Caenorhabditis elegans: one gene and its partner. The protein of the gene in region 1 purifies or fractionates together with the protein of each later gene. This does not show direct contact. Each region holds a gene or a part of one and is shown in the gene's direction. Other genes may lie near its edges.

Region 1 (3,929 bases):
ACATACTAACAAAAATGTATTTTAAAATGTTTCACATGCTAATAAAAAATTTGCTTCACGTGCGAGAGTTATAAAAAACAGAAAATTACTTATTTATTTATTTATTTTGATACGATTAGTTAATCGTGTGAGAAATAAAATACCAATACAACATACATATACACATAATCGTAAGAGAAATCAATACAAATAAAGTAATAAGCAAAACATAATAATCAATTGACATGTAAAATGTACAATTATCAACTGAAATTGAGATTAGTGAATAGAGACTTACATGTGTTTGTTTGGAATATATCATGACACCAATTTGACAACTTTTTTTTCAAGTAAAGATCGCCTATGAAAAACTTAACTATCTTACCATTCATCAAGAGCAGTTAATTGATGATGACATAAAAATTAGAAACAACAAACTTTCAACCCTGAATATTTCATATTGTATGGCGGAAACTGTTCACTTTCTCAACATCGCGATTAATGTACTCTATTTCTCATCCACCTCTTCTTCTCAGTTCTTGCAAAATTTGGTATCATTGTTTCTTCTTTGTCTTCTTCCAATTTATTGATCTTCAGACGTACAAATCCAAAATTTTGTTATCAGATCATCTTTTAAATCCATTTATTAGTGACAAACAGAAAGAAAAATAATGTGAACACAGTGAAAAATCTTGACAATCGTATTTGATTTGCGCAACAAATTCTCGCCCTTTCCACTAGTTGAACTGCTTTTCGTCAAGCATATTTTCTTTTGTTTCTTGTTCTTTTGAAATTTTGAGAGGTTTACTTTACTTTTGATATTTTTCATGACTCATTATTTTTTGAACTATGAGGAAACTTCAGAAAGGTAGTGTAATTCTGCCGATTCCACCGATTATAATCGCTGTTTCCCTTTCCAAACCCCACATATAGAAGACAAAAAGCTGGTTTTGCACAGGTTTTTTTTGCAAAATTTTCAATCAAATATACCCTCTCGAAGGTTTTTATTCGTTTTGAGCAATTGACAGTGCTCTCCGAACTTTTTTGAATGAGACTGCGATTACGTGGGTGATTTTTTGTTGACAAAGGTTGCGCGGAGAAATAAGGTGACGATTTGAATCATTTGTCTTTTCTGGTTTTTGTTTTTCTGTATGTCTGAAGTGTTCCAAATGAAACAGTTGTATTTTTATCCTATATAAATGAAATATTAAGTTTTAAATAAAATTTTAAAAAATACGTTGAATACAAGTAGTTATGCTTCTATTATTAAGTTTATTATAACCCATAATAACACCTCAAAAATGAATAAAACATACTGGTTTTTCCTTAACTTGAATTGAACGTGATATCCGAGTTGATCGAACTTAGAACGTTTTTACCAAAGACTGTTTATTAAAAAAATAATTCTCAAGTTTCTAATTTAATCCGAAATTCAAAAAACGTGGTGGCACTAAATAGTATGTTATAAGTTCTAAGCAATCACTTTCTAATTTTTCAAAAAACACATTTAATTTTTTATACCTACTTTTACAAAACTACTAATTGCTATTGCATAATTTGCAGAACTAAGAATATTTTATAGGTTATTTCCTCACATTTTTTGAACACAATTTTCGGTATTTGTGAAAACGCAAGCAAATATTTTTGTAGTTCTATTTTTAATCGAGCATTTGCAAGATTTTCTCCTGAACTAACGGCATTCTACAAACTTGTTTAAACATTTTTCTTAAATTTTTTAAAATTGAAATTGAAGCTTATATTTCAGAGATGAAATCGATGTTTTTTATATGTCAATTCTCATTACTTTTGCATTTTCAGTGACAAGTAGATGAGTCATCATTTGTTTCCGTGCTAAAACATGTCTTGACTGTGAAGCAATGCCGTTGCCCCCTTGCATTGTACTCGCGACCTCCTCTCCCGTGTCTACTGTTTGCAATTTGCATTTTCGTATTTCGCTTGATTTTTCCCTTTAGCTTGTAAACACTTGTCAAGTTCTATGTATTGTCTGGTCACTTTGATTAAAACAAAAGTTCAAGGTCATCGCTACGGCTTCTAGTTTTGTAGCCGTTTTTAGGTGTACTTTTTATAACCTTATCCTTTTCTGATATCATCTATAACAATTGTATTGCGTTAACGTTTTCTCCTTGTCGACAGATATTAGACCCCTTCACGTTCTCATATTTAAGTGCGACCTTGACAACAATTGACGCCTGTCTTCCATGAAAATCGGCGACATTTTTTTGAGAAACGTAAACATTTAACCATTTTTCAGGTTGTTCAACATGGTATGCTGTTTCGGGAAAAAAGATGAAAGGACCAAAACGATTGAAAAAGAATTACACAAAGAGAGAAAAATTATGCGGCGACAAGTATAATTAAATTATTTTCTAGTGCAAAATAATCGACAATTTTCAGATTAATTTATTGCTTCTCGGATCCGGTGAATCTGGAAAGTCCACGTTTGTAAAACAGATGCACATAATTCACGGGGCCGGAGAATTTACAGCAGACGAAGTTCGAGCTTACAGACAGCAGATATATCAGGTTTCATCCTTTTACGTGGTTTAAAAAATTCAAAGAAAATTATTCACAGAACGCGATAAGTGCAATGCGGGTGTTGTTAGATGCTAGGAACAAATTAGGAATTGCATGGGAAGATCCAAAAAGACAAGTGGAAGTTGAAAAAGTTATGAGGTAAGTAGAATTTATATCTAAAGTCTGAATACAATCCAAAATTCTACATTTTTCCTAGAGATCAAGAAATGCGTGAATCAAACATTCAACTGTTATAGTTTTAAGAAGAATTTTTGGTATCGTTTAAAAATAACAAAGAACTGGATGAAAAATTTTTAACAATGAAAACGAAATTAGATTATTCGTTCTAATCAAAATTCCACACTTTTTAGAAATCATTCAAAAAATTAACTTTTTTTCTTATTGCACTTAAATACATTAATATTATAGATTTTCTGTCGGCGATTTATTAAAAGGAATTGATTTCACCACGTTTGTTGAAGTAGCCCCAATCATCAGTGATTTCTGGAACGACGCTGCGATTAGAAAAACATATGAGCAAAGAAACTTATTCCAAATTGTAAGTTTTTGATTTTTTTAAATTATATATGTTCTGTTTTCAGAGTGACTCCTGTCAGTACTTCTTTGAGCATATTCCACGAATCGCAATGCCTGATTTTTACCCAACAAACCGTGATATCCTTTTCTGCCGAAAAGCGACACGTGGCATTTCTGAACACATTTTCGAGATCAACAAGATTCCATTTAGGTTTGACTTTTTTCCTCAATGGTCACGGACTTAGTTTGTGAATTATATTGTTTCAGGTTCATTGATGTTGGCGGACAAAGATCGCAACGTCAAAAATGGTTTCAATGTTTTACAGACATCACAAGTATTTTGTTCATGGTCGCCAGTAACGAATACGATCAGGTTAGAGATCAAGACACACTTGTTCTGGTGTTTACTATACATTTTTCAGGTGATTCTCGAAGACAGACGGACGAATCGAGTTGTCGAATCACGGTCTGTTTTTGAGACGATTGTCAACAACAGAGCGTTCTCTAATGTCTCCATCATCTTGTTCATGAACAAAAATGATTTATTGCAAGAGAAAGTTCCCAAATCCGATATCAGACAGTATTTCACGGATTTCACAGGGGATCACACTTTAGTGAGTCTATATTATTGAGAAAAAACGTGTTTGACAATAGAAAAATGTATCTTGTATCAAGCTATATTAAAAGGAAAATCATATTTGGTAAAAATTAGGGGAGTATTACACAGCCGACATGTTTCGGGCATTGGAATTCACGTATTACGGAAATCTTTTTTTCTTTATTCATTCTTTCACTGGAACTGTGAGGGTACAGTTGGAAATGTTGTGTTTTACTCACGACCTTTTCAAATCTCGAAAAATTTCAATAATTAACGTTAA
Region 2 (3,929 bases), 1.5 Mb from region 1:
TATAAAACAAGAAGAAGGCACATGATGCTCAAAGTTTTCACATTTTTCAATGTTCAGCCTTGAACTAAGCAACTGTTCAAGCCGAAACAAATGTTGTTTATTGTTGCCAAATCTGTGAGTAATCTGAAACCAAAACTGAAGAAAACTGCATCGAAAGATCGATGTGGTGGGACGGAGGCAAATGCCAAAAGTATTTACTCATCATCTTCGTTCTCCATAAAGATATATTCAAAATTCGAAGAGTGTGTAAAAGCGTGTATTCGATATCTGAATCTGAAACCCGAGACGTAGCGGTGAGCACAGACACCAACGGCATCGTCCAGTTCATGAGGATGCCGAGGATAAGCCTCATGCTCTTGTCCCCAAAACGTCAAATGGCGATACGTATTGAGATATGCATCTTGGCAATCTATTAAGAATGCCGCCGCCGGCACAGTTTAGCCGGAGTGCGTTGAGAAATCAGTTTTCTAACAAGTAGATTTGCTTTTTGCTCCCTTCCTTTTTCTTCACTTGTCCGGGAGGACCTACCACCATCGTTATTCCCAACGGCAATTTTAGGCGTGTGAACTTTCTGCTTCTCATCGTACAACCTCTTTAATGTTTTCTTTCCATCTGATGTATCTTGAACGATTCTTGAGAGACACTTTCCCAGGATGGTGCCGGTGGTGAGCAGTAGGACTTCACTGCCAGTAAATTTTTTTGTTGCTTTTTTCTTGGAATCAAGAAGAATTTTAATTATTTATTTATACGGGCCTCTCTTCAAACACTGGATAACTTTTGAAATGTTGCATATCTTGAAAATGCTTCTTAGAAATTATATCAATTTTGTAATATCCAGTTTTCGAATCTGTTTGAAATATATTTATTATTTGAAATTCATTGGTCATATTTTAAAGTTAGCCAGCCTTTCATGAACTTGCCATTTTTTCTTTACAACTGCAGTTTTATATTCGCCGCTCTAAAAAAAACATCTCCAAACATTGAGAACATGTGAATTTTGTTTCCTTTTTCGCCTTTCATGTTTCTCTTTTGAAAATTCTTCAGTGAACATGTTATTTTTCAGTTTATCTTGACAGAAGCTGATGTTTTAGGAATATTTAGTTTTTTTAGAAGAAATTCCTGTGTGATTAATAGAATGACGTCAGCAAAGTAATGGTGGGAATTTCGCGAGCCCACCTTGAAGACCACCCGCGTTTTTTTAAAATTAATCACTTGTTTTCGAATTATTTGAAGTTTCATGGAAACTATCCAAGACATTCAGTTATGAAGTTAGTCAGTTATTCAGTTAATGAAGATTTTCCAATTTTTAATTTCAAGATTGGCTAGTTGTTATTTAATTCAGTGTGATAGTTTTGATTTTGATGCACGTTTGACTTCAAAGTAACTGTCATAAAATCCTGGCATTTTATTACTAACCATTTTGCTAGGTTTCATTTTATATGTATACCGATGGTTTTGAAAATTCATGTTCATACCTTTTTATTATTCTTTGAATGACCAGACGAAGAAGAACAATGTATTCTGAGTTCGTTCATTTGATTTCCACTCCCACTCGACGAGCAGGTTAACTTTTTGTCCTCTGTGAGCGTGTTGGAACAATTTTTCAACTTTCATCTTCGCATATTTTGCTCAACGATTTGCCGTGGAATTTTTAGCGTTTTGTCACTTCTAACTCCACATATAAGTTTGTTTTGAGACTAAACCAGAATACACCAACAAAAATCCATGCCTTCTTGAAGCTTTTCGTCCCCCCCCCCCCTCCTTCAGCAATAGTTTTTGGTTCTGTCTATTGACAGCGTCACTTTGTCATATATAAACATTCGTTCCGCAATCAGCGCACCAAGCACTCTTCCTCTCTTCTTCCGCACACTTGCTGCGTGTGTGGGCTCGATTTCTTAAGGAGGAGAGAATTTATTCGTCCATTCACTCACATTCTGTGTCTCCGTGATTCCGTTGGCATTTATAGTTCTTCTCAGTTTGCCATTATTGATACTTTTTACAGAAACTGTATATGCGATCGTACGAGTTTGTAACCAATACACCACTCAAACTTGATCGGCACAAAGTATACCTCGTCGACGATGTGGCTGTCACAAGGACTGTACCCTTATCGCAGCCATTATCCCCATCAACCGGTGAGCCATTTTTGCACTTTTACAATTACCTTGTCCTTCGAATTGGGTAAAAGGGTTGAACTTTAAACTTCATCATAACTCGAAATACTGTTGGTTTCAATTCGTTCCATAATTTTAGACCTATGAGTTTTGTTTTTCGTTTTATTCGGAACGCAAGAAAACAAAGTATTCGTTAGAATACACACAAAGGTAAGTTCTTTTCTTAAACACTGAAAACGTTGATTTTAGTGTTCAAAGTGCATAACTTTGTAGTTCCATCAAAAATTATTTTGCTTAAAAGCAGTGTTTCGTTGTAGCCTATCTAGCTCACTTGCTCTTTTCAACCTCTTCAACAGCATTCAAGATTGAAATCTCAACGGGATATATTGTGTGTATATGTCTTCTTCCCTTTTCCCACTCATCCCATGTTAAATTTGGCAGAAAGTTATCCCCTTCTCCTGTTATATTCCCAAGAGTCGTGTTGCTCTTGTGTTCTCAATAGGCGTTGTTGTGACAATTTTGGCGGGGTGCCTTTTGCAATAGCAACAGAGCATCAGTTTACTGGGTTTTCTGAGAATAAAGAAAAAGATGAAACGGAGGAAGAGGATCAAATCTGTTGTGGAAATTGTTTAGTCAACTTCTTTGTTGATTGCTGATTCATTTGAATAGAAAACTGAGTGATATTTAAAAACTTTTCTGAATACTTTAAGAGAGATGGGATTGACAGAATGATTTTCTTACAAAACAAGATTAAAATCGTTAGCCTTGAAGTGGATTAAATGCAACTTGAGTGCCAATTGAAAAAAAATCCGCAAACTTCCCATTGAAGAATATATTCACAGTTGTTGTTTAAATCTTGTCCTATCGTTACGTTTAACACATTAATTTTACAAGAAACTTTGATCTGAAGTCGGCAGGGGATGTCAACATTTGCAGTTTGAAAAATTTAATTATTAAATTATTAAAAAATCTGAAGAAAACCACGAGCTTTTGGTAATATTCTTCGCATTCTCCATACATTCTATGAAAAGTTGTTGAAAATAGTAATAACTAATTTCCAGTTCATGAAAGTGATCAACTATTCAGTCTTGTAGTTTATGTTTCATTGAATTTTTGCTTGTTGTCGTTCTTGCGCCACACTTAAAAAATTAACCTTCGAATACGCGCAAAACCTTACTACATGTTATTTGAACATTGGCTTCAGAGAATCTGCTTGTTGTCGTGTTACCGGCATACTTTCAGATAAAACTTTTTTGAATTCTGCGCTGAATCCAGTTTGAGAAATTTCCTTTTTGCACATTTGCTAACATTATTTATTTTTGAAAAAAAAATGAATTGCCGCCAAAAACTATGGTCCCACTTGCACTTCTGCTTAGACATCAGGATCATAAATTACAAATTAAAGTTTTATTCCATAATAATACACAAAACCTAGCAGTTGAAGTTCATTTTGATTTTTGGTGGTTTTTGTTAAACTAAAGTTTGAATATGCTTTTCAAAACATGGGTCTTATCTTTTTTCAAACACCTCAAATCTGATCGAACACTCTTCAACTTTTTATAGCTCTGACTTCCAAAAGAACATTCTGAAAAACAATTCAAAATTCACACAAGTCCCTTTTGCGCGAACTAAGGTTTCATGTGACTATAAATAATGTTCCGTGCAGGAAAAAAATTAATTGAATTGCAAATTCAATTTCCTTGTTTTACATTAGTATATCTATCACTCGATTATAGAGTGGCAGCACATTTTTCAAAATGAGGCAGCGGTTATTTGGGACCAGATTGGGCCGGCAAAGAGATTTATATCCGTTTT

What was found.
Region 2: the proteins of gpa-12 (region 1) and rhgf-1 purify together in Caenorhabditis elegans (affinity purification with western blotting, with the first as the bait; one study listed by BioGRID). This does not show direct contact.

The regions. Positions count from the first base shown.
Region 1 is NC_003284.9:9,244,756-9,248,684, forward strand, and holds the start of gpa-12 (Guanine nucleotide-binding protein alpha-12 subunit), read left to right. Parts: upstream 1-2,251; 5' UTR 2,252-2,261; coding exon 2,262-2,348; intron 2,349-2,394; coding exon 2,395-2,523; intron 2,524-2,572; coding exon 2,573-2,673; intron 2,674-2,943; coding exon 2,944-3,073; intron 3,074-3,116; coding exon 3,117-3,262; intron 3,263-3,318; coding exon 3,319-3,424; intron 3,425-3,473; coding exon 3,474-3,665; intron 3,666-3,929. UniProt on the Caenorhabditis elegans protein: Guanine nucleotide-binding proteins (G proteins) are involved as modulators or transducers in various transmembrane signaling systems.
Region 2 is NC_003284.9:10,709,941-10,713,869, reverse strand, and holds the start of rhgf-1 (Guanine nucleotide exchange factor), read left to right. Parts: upstream 1-2,000; 5' UTR 2,001-2,011; coding exon 2,012-2,135; intron 2,136-2,454; exon of another isoform or gene 2,455-2,581; intron 2,582-3,929.